2 linked regions of the Bombyx mori genome follow. The main gene of each other region encodes a partner of the protein of the gene in region 2 in a complex. Links are inferred from orthologs where the notes say so. Each region holds a gene or a part of one and is shown on either strand. Other genes may lie near its edges.

Evidence for each region. Proteins that work in one complex are often made in the same cells at the same time.
Region 1: splicing factor 3B subunit 3 (region 2) and microfibrillar-associated protein 1 share a complex: the UniProt entries of both Drosophila melanogaster proteins name them as parts of the spliceosome B complex. The link is inferred for Bombyx mori from reciprocal best matches to the Drosophila melanogaster genes Sf3b3 and Mfap1.

Annotation. Positions count from the first base shown.
Region 1 is NC_085127.1:8,421,366-8,429,138, reverse strand, and holds the start of microfibrillar-associated protein 1, read left to right. Parts: upstream 1-2,911; 5' UTR 2,912-3,994; coding exon 3,995-4,067; intron 4,068-4,235; coding exon 4,236-4,429; intron 4,430-4,576; coding exon 4,577-4,788; intron 4,789-5,117; coding exon 5,118-5,230; intron 5,231-5,423; coding exon 5,424-5,605; intron 5,606-6,382; coding exon 6,383-6,507; intron 6,508-7,773. UniProt on the Drosophila melanogaster protein: Required for pre-mRNA splicing.
Region 2 is NC_085117.1:14,813,484-14,821,165, forward strand, and holds the start of splicing factor 3B subunit 3, read right to left. Parts: upstream 4,869-7,682; 5' UTR 4,708-4,868; intron 4,451-4,707; 5' UTR 4,428-4,450; coding exon 4,202-4,427; intron 3,776-4,201; coding exon 3,605-3,775; intron 2,262-3,604; coding exon 2,067-2,261; intron 1,838-2,066; coding exon 1,363-1,837; intron 1,135-1,362; coding exon 977-1,134; intron 583-976; coding exon 406-582; intron 176-405; coding exon of another isoform or gene 156-175; exon of another isoform or gene 129-155; intron 23-128; coding exon 1-22. UniProt on the Drosophila melanogaster protein: Involved in pre-mRNA splicing as a component of the splicing factor SF3B complex, a constituent of the spliceosome. SF3B complex is required for 'A' complex assembly formed by the stable binding of U2 snRNP to the branchpoint sequence (BPS) in pre-mRNA.

The DNA.
Region 1 (7,773 bases), on a different chromosome or scaffold from region 2:
GGCTCCTCCTTCTGCTCCACTCAACGATCCTATCCTGTCTTATAAGCAATATAACTCTGATGCCCCTTCTCTAAATCTAACTTTTACGTTAGTGGAGTTAAAAGGTGTATTAAATCACGTCAAAGACAGTGCTCCAGGGGAAGATGGGATTCCATATTCCTTTTTGTCTCACCTTGGCGAAAAAGGATTAAATTACTTTTTAAATTTAATAAATAAAATTTTACTGACAGGTGACATTCCACCGTCATGGCGAAGTCAAATAGTATTGCCATTTTTAAAGCCGTCTAAGGTACAATCTGATATCAAATCATATCGTCCGATAGTTTTGTCATCGGTGATCACAAAAGTTGTTGAACATTTAATTAAAAATCGGCTTGAATGGTATATAGAAAATAACGAATATCTGTCCCAAACTCAGTTTGGATTTCGAAAAGGTAAAAGTGTGGGGGACAATTTAGGCATATTAGTTACGGATATTCGTAATGCTTTCTCAGATAAAAAGTCAGTAGTTGCTGCTTTTTTGGATATTAATTCGGCTTATGATAACGTTCTATTACATATTCTAAAAAGTAAATTAGATAAATTAAAGGTTCCCGATTTTTTAACTAATTCCATTGTAAATCTTCTTTCGGAGAGGAAAATTATTTTAGATGTTGGCGGCCCTTATAAGCCTAGTAGGCTGGTATGGAGAGGTTTGCCACAGGGGTCTGTTCTGAGTCCTTTATTGTACAATATTTATACATATGATCTAGAAGGTTCAGTCGGAGATTCAGCAAGTTTATTACAGTATGCCGATGACTTGGTTATTTATGCCTCTGATATGTCTGTAAGTACTGCTGAACGATATGTTTCCTCCTCTTTATCTTTGCTAAAAATCTGGATGGATGCAAATGGCCTTGATCTGTCTCCCTCAAAAAGTACTGTTGTACTTTTCACCAAATCCCGTACTCCTTGCTCACTTAATATAACATATGATGGGGATATATTACCCATTAGGAATCAAGTTAAGTTCTTAGGAGCTATTCTTGATTCTAAACTAACGGGTCAACCACACTGCGAATTTGTGGTTAGTAAATGTGAGCGAAACTTGAACATGCTGAGATGTCTCGGTGGGGTTTGGTGGGGTGCTCACCCGGCTACACTGAGGTTGGTGTATAATGCTGTCATTAGAAGTGTACTGGATTTTGGGACCTTTTTCTTAGACCCAGGTAATGTGGCTGGCTTTAGAAAACTAGATCTCATACAGTCTAGGGCTTTGAGGATTGTTTCTGGTGCCATGAAATCGAGTCCGGTTAATGCTCTGCAAATAGAATGTTGTGACCCTCCTTTAAACTTAAGACGTCAATATCTGTCCGATAGATTCATTTTTAGAATTGTTCAGTTCCATAATCATCCCCTCATTTCGAAACTAGAGTTTCTTTCTAAAAAAGTACCCTCTTCACATAAACCTTTACCTTGTCTGTTAAAAAGTTTCCTGAAATTCAAACAATTACAAGCCCCAACTCATTCTTTTCAGGTGCTTCCTTTATTTGGCGCTTCTTATGATTCTCTCTTACTTTCTCCAGTGATTTGCTTTTCTCTTGGCATTGAAAAATCTGATTTTAATGCCAATGAAAATTTTAATTGCAATGTCAATAGTAAATGGCCTAACTGGCATCAAATTTATACAGATGCATCTAAACACTCCAGTGGGTGTGTTGGTGTTGGAGTGTATCACAAACAGTACAACATAGTTCAGAAAATTAAATTACCTCCGGAATCATCGGTCTTTACCGGTGAATGTTTTGGACTATTAAAAGCTCTTGAATATGTGCTGTCTTTCAAACTAAAAAAAACCGTTGTATTTACTGATTCCTTAAGTGCATTACAGAGCTTAGCAAAATTTTCACTAAAACTTAACCCTTTTTTTCATGTAATATTTGAATGTAAGAGAAAGCTGTTGCACTGCCAATCACACAACTATTTAGTATCATTTTGTTGGGTACCTAGTCACTGTGGCATATCTGGAAATGTGAAAGCTGACAGTTTGGCCAACAGTGCAACTGTGACCGGTGACGTATACCCGTACAAGAATTTTGGCCATGATCTTGCTGCTTTGCCCGGCATATGCCTCCACAAATCATGGAATATGTGTTGGGAAGAGAGCGGCCGGATTAAGGGTCGTTTCTTGTATGCTATACAGTCTTCCGTTCCCAGGAAGCCATGGTTTGCCAAATTGTCGTTTGGTAAAACCGCCACTTCTACTATAATTCGTATGCGTCTGGGACATAACAGCCTTCCAGTTCATTTGCACAAACTTGGTATCGTAACTAGTACCGCCTGTGAGTGTGGCGAGAGTTATTGTGACCTGAATCATATTTTCTTTGCTTGTTCTTTATATGATCATTCTTCCTTATATACTTCTTTAGTATCTCTCTCTATTCCCCTTCCTACTAATATTTCTTTACTTCTTCGAGATTTTAATCCCCTTGTATATAGTATTTTAAGTAGGTTTATTTTAAATAATAACATTAAACTATAATTTTGATTTATTTTCCCTGTTATATAATTATTCTGATTTTTTTTGTAAATTCAATTCGTTCTAAATCATTTATGTTTTGTTGCGATAAGTTTCCTTCGTTTTTTATTATTTATAAACTGTAAATAAATAAAACGGCGAATTATAAAAACGTTATTACTTGACGCTGGCTAATGCACAAAACGTGCCAGAGCCAAAAATAAAGAAGAAGAAGAAGATATATGAAAAAATTGTGTCCGATTTTTAGGATGAGTGCTCCATAATGAATTTAAATATATTATCATATAGTTATTAGTTTTGGTGTATCTACTTTCTTGAGATCCTATTAAATATGTTATAATTATTATTTTTGTATGGTTTAAGCGGGGTAGCATGATAAAATAAGAAATGTTATATAAGCAATCATATTAAATCGATATCAAAGTCAATAACCCAAAATCCTGGTGGTAGGACCTCTTGTGACTCCGCGCGGGTAGGCACCATCGCCCTGCCTATTTCTGCCGTGAAGCAACAATGCGTTTCGGTTTGAAGGGTGGGGCAGCCGTTGTAACTATACTGAGATCTTAGAACTTATATCTCAAGGTGGGTGGCGCATTTACGTTATAGATGTCCATGGGCTCCAGTAACCACTTAGCACCAGGTGGGCTGTGAGATCGTCCACCATTCAAAGCATTAAAAAAAAACCGGTTGAACTGACGTGACAATGACATTTGGTGCGCTAAGCATGACGGATTTTCGGCCTCATTAGACATTTACGTATATTCATGTTTCATTTTATGTACGCACTGAAATACTGTTATATTGTTTTCCTGCGAGTTACAGTGCTGACTCGTGCTGAGTAAGAACGAGATAGATATATGTTTATGTGTGTGCCTTCAAAATGGGTGTTATTTGTATAAGCAATTGTACGTATAGAAAAATATGTCGTGTCCCTACTATATAGGTCAATGAAACGCACTGAAGTATACTTTAAAGGTTTATGTATAAACAATGTTCTACAGCTTGTCCTGTAGCCATGTATGCAAGCCTCATTAACACACTACACCATCAGTGGTCACTGTTGCAAATAAATTTGCAAAAAGTCTTCAACAGGATTTTTTTTTTATCAAATTACTTTACTTCTTATTTAGTAAATGTGAAAAAGTTATGACTTTCCTCTTCGCTTAAAGCAGTTTCATACAACAGATATGGTTTTAGTTTTAAAACAAAACAGCCTGTATGACCTTTGTTCCTTTGGTCAGGGTATTTGCGTGTTTGAAAAAAATTTGTTGAAGTAATGTCAAATTCTGTATCTTATCTGTGGCTAGTACTAATCATACTAAACGTATCGTTACTGTAATTTAGGATAATAATGGGTAAAATATCTTTTAAACTGAACAAGGCTTTGTGAAATCAAGTAATTTATATTTAATGAAAATTTAATAATTGGGGTCTAGTAGCTACTATCATTGTTTTATAAACGAAAACACTGGCAAGATGAATGTCCTACCAGCACAACCTACAGGCATTCAGAGTACAGCGGGAGCAATTCCGATAAGAAATGAAAAAGGTACGATAATGTATTCCTAAAATGAATTTAAAAAAAAACTGGCTTTCAAACTTCCATTCTATAAAAATAAAGTTAATTGATTCGAAATTTTCACATTAATCAATGCAGCTTAGTTGAAGCATTTCCAAAGTTTTCATTTTATTTTACATAAATTGGCTTCATTTTCAGGTGAGATCTCGATGCAAAAGGTGAAAGTTCAGCGATACATATCTGGAAAAAAGCCTGACTATGCACAAGGAATGTCATCATCTGAGGAATCAGATGAAGAAGATTTTATAGAGCAACAAAGACCTGAACGGAAACAAGTTTTACCTCAAATAATCACCCGCAAAGAAGAACATCATAGCGATTCTGAGAAAGAGGTAACTTATAAAGAGCAACACTAATGAGAAATACTATAAATGGACTGCTCTCTGCAGCTCATCTTAAATTGTACCTCATAACAGAAGTGTCAAGGTTAATTGCATCTTTTTCACTTCATTGTAGAAATGTATAATTTCACTTTTAAGGTTGATGATCCTCGATTACGACGTCTCCGTAATATTGCACAATCACCGCCGCGTAGAGCCGAACACAAGCCTGAAATTATTGATGCAGAACCTGAAGCAGAATCTGAGATCAGTGATCATGACGTGAGGGATAGTTCCGAGAGTGAAGATGAACTGGATGAGGAAGAGATTGAAAGACGCAGACAGGCTCTAAGAGCAAAACTTGCAGCCAGGTAAATGTAGAACATATTAGTTTTTAAATTCACAATAATACAGTGAAATAGATAATTTTAAATGAATTATGCTTTCAAATATAACTCCTGAAAGAGTATATGGGACTCTCCACCCAGCCAAAAGGGAGATTGCTGTAGTTGAAATGTAGTGGTTTTCACATTGTAGTATATATGAGTTCCAAGTGTTTTGAGTTCCTTCACTATGCAATCACTATGCAATAAAAAAGGAAGACATTGTTAGCACAAGTGTTTTTTTAAAAAGGTGCATTACGAACTTAAATATTAAATACGTCTGAATGTAATAAAATTATCAATTTATTAAATGGTAGGGAAGCTGAAAAAGAAGTACTCGGTAGAGATGAAGATGAAGAAATGTTGGAAGGTGACAAAGAGGAAAGCGGCTCATCAGACACAGAGTACACAGACAGTGAAGAAGATACTGGTTAGTATTCAAATTTTATAAAACTTGTAAATATTACTTAGAAGCGTCAAGTAATCCCTTCAAATTAAGCTTCATATTTAGTGGGCTTCTTCTAAATGGAGGTAAGTAAAAGTAAAGAAATTTCAATATTGCATTTCACAGGTTATGCCATCATAGTACACTGCATAATTTATGTATAGTTGGCCTTTTCCAGGGCCAAGGGTGAAACCAGTATTTGTAAGAGCATCGGAGCGTATGACAGTGGCAGAGAGAGAACGTAAAATGAAACAGCAGAAAAGAGAAGAGGCTGAAGCTCGGAAAGAAAAAGAAGAAAGGCGACGGGAAGCCCTTAAATTAGTAGAGGAAACGATTCGGTCTGAACAGCGGGGTGCTCAGGTTTAGTATCAGGTTTTAAAATATAAATTTTATGAAATCAAAATCAATATGTAATAATTGTTTTACTAACGATTGTCGGTAACCTTGTATCATCATCATCATTATCCTGCCCTTCTCCCAGTCACCTGGGGTTGGCGCAACATGTTTTCTCCTTCCATACTCTTCTATCATATACCATTTCTTCGCTCACTCCCCTCCTACCCATATCGTCTTTCACACAATCCATCCATTTCTTCTTAGGTCTACCTCTTCCTCTAAATCCTTCCACATTCATAGTTAACACTCTCATAACAACCTCATTTTCATTCCGTCTCATCACATGTCCATACCATCCCAAACGTGCACTCCTCAGCTTCTCTGTCACAGGTGCCACTTTCAGACTTCCTCTAACATAACCTTGTATATAAAGTCTTAAACATGTTGTTTACATATGAACGTATATAAATGTGGTGTATTGATGCTTCACTTAATATCAAAGTATTAGGAGAAGGCAGGTGGTTCAGTAGGCAGCAGCCGGGGTTCTGCCCCTGACATTGCTGGCCCAGTCCATGGGCGACGGTAAATACTCATCAAGGGGGCCGTATGCTGGTATGCCTACAAGGGCAATAAAAAAAAAGTATATTATGCATCAATAGTCTGTTGACTGCTGAAGTTTTAGATGATTTATATTTTCTTATAAAAACGTTGATTAATAGTGATGCGAAATTACGAATAAAACAAATATTTTTCACACTGTTTTTATTCTTCACAATTTCAATCTTTTAAACATACTTTTAGGGAGAACAAAAAGAAGGGAATATAAATGATGTATGTACAGATGATGAAAATGACGAACTGGAATATGAAGCTTGGAAGTTGCGTGAAATGAAACGTATCAAACGAGATAAAGAAGAAAGGGAAGCGTAAGTTAAAATTATTCATTTGGAAGCTATTTTCTTCTACAGTAGGCGCGCGAGTTCATGTCCGTCCTGAGGAATGCGGTAGTGCTGTGACCTAGTTAATTATGGTGTCGATAATAACTACCGATTTAGTCAATAGCTGTCAATTTGGTTTATTGTAACTAGGTCATTTTGCAAATTATAAAATAAATGTGGTAAGTAATTACTTATTTATTTCTAATAGAGAAAAATATTTTTTAAATTCCAATTCAATTACTATCAGATGAAAAGATAACCGACAGATCAGAGTCCGAATCAGTGTAGGTTTTTTTCTACCTGAACTTGTTGGAAGCGAAGTAGTCGTAGTTTATTCACCATGAAATAACACAATAGCGTTAGCGTAAATTTTTGATATCGATAAGCGCGCGTCACAACTGTCAAAGACAACACTAAACGTCAGACAAACGCGGGGAGGCGGACGGAGGCGGGGCGAGCTGCCCCCCGCGCGTCACCTCTGGCCCCGATGGACACGAACTCGCGCGCACACTGTAGGTTAATTCAACTGTATCTGCTATACGGTAGAACAGTATTCACCATCAATACGCAATGTCGTCAAAGGCCTTTAAGAGATATACTGTAAGATGGGAAGCAGTATTCTCTGAACATTACAGTAGGTAGAGCTAGTGTGCCTGGCTAGAGCAATAAAAGCTAAGTTACTAAGTGAGAATCTGAGGTCCTTAGATTTGCCGAGTATTATTATTAACCCATGGTATATATGAGTCGACTATTATCAAAGCCGGCAATCTGACTTTTGGACAATGATTGGTAAATCAGAAAAACGAATTATTGACTTTGTATTCCATTGGCAGTCACAAAACTCTTCGGAACGACATCTTAGATAAATAACAGGTTAACTATTAACCTTTATTTAATGCAGGTTTTGAACCGTATTCTTTGAAGGAGACGATTATATTCAAATAAATCTGTATTGACATATCAATAAAAATTTTTTGTCCAAATGTACAGATTGCCGCCTTTGATAATAGACGACTCATATGTAGTTAGTACAAGACTTATGCTTCACTCTGTTTTAAAATTAATAGTCGTCTCATATTTCAAATATGAGTTCCACGTTTTGGGTTTTGATTGTGTGAAGTAGATGTTATGCTGATAGGCTGAGATATGCTAAGATTTTATCCACGTAGATGTTATTCTGGCCTAAATTATCTCAGACTGCAGCTGATGTATTTAGTCAATCCCGTGTCAGGACTGCAGCTGATAATGATTTTC
Region 2 (7,682 bases):
ATGATGTAAGAATCGTATTCCTCTGTAACCAAAGAAAATTGAAAGCTATTATTATGTTCAATAAGTAACTAAGAAAATTTTGTTGATGGCGATGTTGATCTTCAGTGTAGATAACTTGCTCTGCCTACCTGTTCGTCATGCTGAACCATGTCTGTTCACCTGCCGTTAGTAGATTCTGAAAAGAAAAACCACTGGTGTTTATGTTTGACAAACAACCAGGGTTTTATTAGTAACTTGTTGATAAAAGGGAGCATTCATAAGTGGTAGTAGTAGAGTGGCGTCACAGTTTATCAGTAACACGGACCAAAATTATAATCATTATGCTCCTGTACTTCAATCTCGACAGTTTAATTATTTAATTTTAGAGCTCCCTGAAATAATGAAACAGAGTAAATTAATACTCACCATCTTTATTTCGTCGAACTGTCCAAACAGCATTCGGTGATCCTGGAAGCTCTGATACAGCCATTTCAGCAACTTCAAGACCATGTCTTAGTGCTCTAAGGGAGGATCGTGGGCCTCTCCCACATGCCAAGTAAACTTGCGGAGTATCTTCCCCAGCTAAATCTGCCACATGGCAAGCTGGAATTTTTATTAATCAATTATATATATATACTATTTTTTATTTTGAGGACTCCTCATTAAAACATTGAACGCCATGCGGCCCACTGGTGGGCCTAGCTTACTATACTATTTGAGCCAAGGCAAAATTAGAGAATCTAACTTTTATCAACTTGAGATTTTCATTATAAAATTTATATAATGCAATAATTTGCACGGAACATAGGACTTTAAACTGCAAATTTCTATTGATTTGAAAACCAAAGCGTTTGGGTTCGGCTTAATAAGAGTTTTGTTTGATAGCTGCAATGAGTGGCTTGTAGGAAAGCCTCCCGCGGCTCACGGGTGACCCTCGTGGCCCGAACGGTCAGTAAGATAAGGCGCACCAGTGATGCGTTCAATTGCTACTACTTACCTAATATTGGTGACAAAGAATCCATTTCATCTACCAGTACTAAATTCCTCAAAGGTCTTGGTGCAAAAAAGAATGTGTCGCCCTCTTCTAGAGGCATAGCAGAGCTAAATTCTGGTTCATCATCTTCATCACCCAAATGTGCTATCTGATATAAGTAGCTGAAATTTATGTGTATTTTAGTAATTTATCATTCCTAAATAGATGTACAGCACACATCATAAACTTAGTATGTACATCCTATATCAGTGTGCACTCACCCCATAACAAGGGAGGACCTTGGTTCAAGGATAAATTTCTATAGCATGAAGTAATTCTTAAGAGTACAAAATGAGTTTATACTCACTAGCACTTATGCAACGCAAATATATTTACAAAAGTATACTCACTGGTTGCCAAATTCACAAGCCACAAACAAAAATCCAGTTTTAAGAACACACATTGATGTTGCCACTGGTACAGTGTCAAAGTATTTCAGCTTTATTTCAGTGACCATATCTTCATCAGTTTCTATAGTTATTTTGAAAATATCACCCTGTTCAGTTTGTGCCAAAAAGAAAAACATGGACTTAGTTTTATGCGTGGCAGAACAAACAAAGATCATTCCTCTTTCTGGATCATCTAAATCATTTCTTCTGCGAGGTATAGGACACCTAATATCATGTTGATCACCCAAATTTTTGTATGTGAGATAATTTTCAGAGCATATAAGGACACCAGAAGGACCATCATTTCCTCCAGGCACAGTTATGAGAAAGTTTGCATGCTCTTCTAAAGGTTCAGAGTACTTTCTAACAACATGATTCAAACCAAGATCTAATTCGTAAAATGTTAAAGTCTGTTGAGTTTTTTGTGCAGCTTCGCCTGTGGAAGATAGTCATGATTGATTTTCAAAAGTAAAGATAAGACTTATTTGTGTGTTAATTTAAAAATCATACAGAGAGGATTTGACGTCACTGTCAATCAGAAACACGGACCTCAGAATAATCATAGTATGTTTTGTAATTAGATAGTATGTTTAAATTATCACAAAAAGTATATGAAATTCTAAGCAAAACATGACAAGACATTCAATTAACAAATTACTACTAACCGGTAGGATCTGAATCAGCTTCTTCATAATCAATTTCCAAACATGCAAACATGGGATTTTCAAATCCAACATCAACACCAACCATGTGATAAACTAGTGTGTTTGACTTGTGAGCTTCAAGTGGTGAAGATATTGTTAGTCGAGCTTCTGCATCTCTATTCAAAATGTATACCAATTTCTGTTTTTCAATTGCACCTAAAATTTAAATAAACTTTGAGTACTGATTTTGTAAATTTCATTTGAGCAAATAAATTGGAATGTAATGAATTTAATATTGTACCATTCAAAGTACAAAAAGCAGTTTTATAAGATCAGACAGTGAAAATTGTTTTTTTTTTTTTATTGTATGGTATTGTAAATGACAGTATTTCAGAGATAACCAAAAGTTAGTGATTGACCAAGCATCATTGGAATTAAGATATTTATATCTTTTTACTGATGTTTTCAAAACAGTAAACCTGTTTTTCGATTTTAGAGTGAGATAATCACCTTAAAAAAAGACATGTGCGATTTTTGGTCTCAAATCAATGCATCACATGTGTGGCATAACTAGAGTCCCATTATTACTTATCTTAATAATTATATTTTCCAGTTTATTGGTTCACATCACCATAAATGCCAATAAAAATTTACAGTATACATTAAAAGGTACAAACAAATTAAATTACAAAAGGTCCAATTGAAATTGTATGCACAAACAGTGCTTAAGTAAACTTATACTAGTTTCCCTTCAATAAACCAAAATCAGAGAAAACAAATCTTACACCCGTATCTTTAGTCGTTTACACGAGCTTGACTCGACTCAACCTCCAACGCGCGTTTTGGTATGCTTAGTCGTAAAAATAAACTCCACTCAAACGTCCTTGGAAAATTTTCCTAATCGGAGTGAAGTAAGCGAACTGTCAAGTCAAGGTACGTCGCGACGTACCATGAACGTTCCTCAAGACTGGTTTTCTATCAATTTCCAAATAGTATGTGGACCGCAAATGGAAATATATGATATTGTTGTGCAATGGCCTGGATCTGTGCATGATTCGCACATATTTTGATAATTTTTATTAATAAAGTAAATAGTTCGAGGTTAGACTCTTGTTTAGACTAGTGGTTAGATATTTGAAACTCCTTATTTACCTACATAAGAGTCATATTTTGCTTACTACCTAATAAATAAAGTCAAGCTTGATCAAATTTTAATCATTATTACCTCACTCGAGGACAGTTGATGAATATTGTAATGGTCGACTAAAAATACCAAACTCGAGTAAGTTTGGGAGGAATGCTCGAGCATCATCGGATGAGTTAAGAGGACTATTTGACGAAACGTCTAAAGATACGGGCATTAGAATTTAATACTCCACGTTTTGTACCACTGAATATCAGCAACTCTGGCAGATTTTCGAGACGAGAAGAAAGTCTTATGGCTTTGTAGCAGTGCTAAAGGTTAATTGTAATTTTTAGTTGCAGCATTCCAAAACTACTCTTTTGGAACCCAAAACTAAAATTGATTCAAGAGGTAGGTATTATGAAAAAGTCCATACCAATCATAACAGCTCTTCCTTTAGGATCAATTGATAGATATTGACCAGGAACTATTCTCCTACAGCCAGATTTACCAAATGTTTCTTGATGGACTTTCTCCAAAATGTTCTTAGTTGGGATGTACTCCAAAATGATGATACGTCCAGAATCAGAACCAACCACAATGTAATCTGCAGAAAATTCTATATTTTAATGTTGTGTTCTATTGTTCGTAAGTTCAGGGTTAGGTATAACTTTGGAGATTTAGGTTATTTTTGCGTTTATAATGTGTGCAATAATCTATCATGTTAAGCATGCTACAAAGTCAAGAGTCATAAAAGTTCACATTATCTGTTAGGATTAGTTTGTTCCATTGCGGTACATCCCAACATTGAGAAAATGCAAGGAGCGACGCTTTGGCCATATTTTGTGCATCTAGTTATCCCATGTTCTTTGTGTTATAAAAAACATGGAGCAAGATGATGCAGTGTTATTTTCGATCTTATATAATGTAAAAATATTGGATTTGAGAGGAAATTCTGGGATTAAGATAATTTAAAAGAGATAAGCTACACAGTTCAATGGACCACATGGTCACATGGCCAAAGTTTACTTACCTTTTGTTCCTCCGGTTAGACGAAAAGCCATAATAGACCGAACTACACCAAATATTTCAATTTTCATTAATGTGTGGACCTTTCCCGTGTTCGGATCTGGCCGTAACAATTCAAGTGTTTTGCCACGTGATATAATAATCTCCTGTTGCTTAGTTCCAGAGAAATTTCCATGTACGGCATGTGTTATGGCAGATGAACCTTGCAGTGTTAAATTGTAGAGATACATCGTGATCTTATTTTAACCTATCCCTGAAAATAAATCGGGTTAGGTTAGTTAATTTATCTTTTCAAATAATTAAGCAACTGAAACAGAGGTGTGGAATTAAAATGTAGGGCTCGTAACTGACGAAAGCAGAAAGGATTTTGTGCTTTCGAATGGGTGAGCTTTCTGTTATAGCACCGAAAAAACGACCACGATTAATATATAATTTATCGTGGAGATACCTAGTGCAAATACAAATTGAAATGCATCATAGTCTAGCAAAACGAGAGAATTAAAAGATTACCTTTAAATATTAGCAATTGATGGCCGCAATGCGGCTCGATGCAGTATTTAATTTTCACGGGTGAACCGGCACAAGCAGTTGCCGGTAAAATGGCGGATTCAGAGCACGCCATTGAGCTTCGTTTTCACGGACCAATCAAATGAGAGGATTTTGCATCATGGCGTCGAGTTTTATAGAGGAATGTTGCCATATAAGAAATATTTTAGTAGCTGTTTTCTGCCATCTGTTGTTGGGTAGTGAAACTTGTAGCACAGGCTTTCAACGAATGAGCAACGGCTATTTTTTGTCAATAGATGTCCATTGCAGTCCACATAACATGCAATGAGATATTTAAATAGACAATAAAAATAACTTTAATTTACCTTAATAGATAATAAAGCTTCAATGTTAGTTCATTAATAACAAAAGTTTTATTAATAATAAAATCAAAATTAATTTAGTTAAAATACAGTTATATTAAATGTATTTACTTAAATTATTCGGAATTACACGTATTAAGACACATCTAATCTCACTAGAGATTTGATAAGGATCTCTCTCTCAAATTCTTCCTAGTTACAGACATCGAGCTCACCGCTCACTTTGTGTTAAATTGTTACGTGAAAAAAGGGCCAAATCATAAAGTGAATGCAATGCAACGTGCTTCCAACGTAATTATTTCCGACTGATTTTGAAAGGTCGTCGGAGATATACAATGTCCTGACTAAGGCCTCGGTTCAGTAATCTCGGTAGAGTTCCTCGGTAGGGCGGCAGTAGACAAATCTCCCTATCCGTTCTGCTTTTTGATAGCTGAGCGAATACGCAATTATTTTTTTCTGTCTGCCCAGTGAGCGCCTGTCAGTCCAAAGGTGAGGCACCCTGCTGTCTTCTTGAGAATTGGCGAATAGGCTGTACATCTTCTAGAGTCCTTAAGCCTAATGGAAAATTGTATTGTTTTTCTGTAACTGTAACTGTACCTTTTCTGTACCTTTGGTCATATAAATATATAATTATGTATTTATTTAGGTACCGCCAGAGCGTTTTCTGAACGGAATTAAGGATAGATTTTATTGTGATTTGTACATCATGTACGAAGGTGGGCGAGGGAATCGATTTATCTTAACACCAAGTGGTCCGTTACTCCGATGATCAATCTATTTTAAAAAAAAAAACAAGTAGAATCGCTGCGTGCATAATGGTTTGCAAGGCCATAATTGTGCTATGTGTTGTCCCTGCATTATGTTTTGTATCTTTTATTTTATTAATGCCGTTTGGCAGACGAGCTCAAAACTCTACCTGCTGTTGAGGAATTACCGAGCAGACATCTCAACCTAGATCCCGTCATCCACATGAACATTATAAGCTGATCACCCAATCGCATAATATCTGTCGCACACCCATGTACATGCGGTTGGTTTGTGATAATTTTTTTACAGTATGTAATAATATTGGTACAGCCTTTTAATATGTATCGTAATTATTACAAGTAACGTGAATTTATAATGTTGGCAGATATTAGTACTAAATATTGGGATCTTTCATCGTGGGATTGGTTCGGGTCGAAAAATTAGTACCTGCCTTTACGAAGCAGCGCTTACTCACCGTCACTGATAATGTTTGTACGACGTTTCATAAATAAATTTGTGTATTTTTATTTCTTTGCAAAACAATATGTCTTTGACTGCCCTTCAATTGAACTGTTATTTCGGTGATATCGATATTGCGATCGGTAAACGTAATCGACATTTTTGAACAGTTTTCTTAAGTATCGGTCACGAATCTTAGACTTGAACATTATTTTTAATATCTCAAGAAACAAAATAGCTTATCTTATACCTTTAATACCTTTTAACGAGCAATTCTTGTATATTAATATATACGTATATAATCTGAATCTCGGAAACGGCTCCAACGATTTTCATAAAATTTAGTATACAGGGGATTTCGGGGGCGATAAATCGATCTAGCTACGATTTATTTTCAGAAAATGTTGTTTTATTCGTGTTTTCAATAATCAACTCTTCCCGACATCTATTGGCGAATAATAATAATTTTTTTTAATTGAGGGCAACTGACCGCTTTAAAGACAACAAGATGGCGTTATCAAAAAAAAAAACAGTCATCGTCTGGTAAAATTGTTAAGCTTGGTATGCGTTAGGCGGATACGTAATTTATTTATTTTACATTACAGGTATAAGGCTCGCTTAGTTTCAGGTCACGATCTCAGCGGATGATGTGCACGTGTGCCGGTTCGATCGTTCGCAGGAAAGAAAAAAATACAAATAAAAAATATTTCGCTTTATACGAACGTCTTGCACGCAATTTTATCATGATGATAAAATACGTGTTAAAAGGTGTTCTTAAGATGAAATATTTTAGGTTTATACTCGTTATTTTGGAAATAGAATATATTATGAATTGGTTATGTGTATTCTGTATGAAATATTTTAAATTTATTGCTGTCAATGACAAAAGCGTACTGATTATATTTAAATAATTGTTTTGTGTTTATCGATTCATAAATACTAAATACTATCAATTTAGTTTTCGTTAATGAGAATCTATGTACATATAGCGTGTAATTTGTGGCGGGAAACCCAATGTTTTTTTTAAGTCACTTTTTTCTAGATCTTAGATATATTATTTTTCAGAGCTTATATAATAGTGTTGGATATTGGAATACTAACTACATATTTTCATTTTATTGTTCCACACTGTACGTAAATCTGTTAATTCAATAGAACAAGGACGCTGAACCAAATTTGCTTGCATTAAAAATGTAGGATTACATGTATGTAGGTATATCCAATTTTAAATGTGTATTTTAATCTGAAAAAGTTGCGTGTACATTAAATCTTATATCTCTGGTGATACATTTTGTCGTTTTAATTAAGTAGGTGTCAGAAAAAGAAAATAATTCAGAGTGTTTTTTTAATTGCTTGAGTAAGGAGTTTAAAACACGCAAACAAGACACGGTTTGCATGTTAATGTCGTTA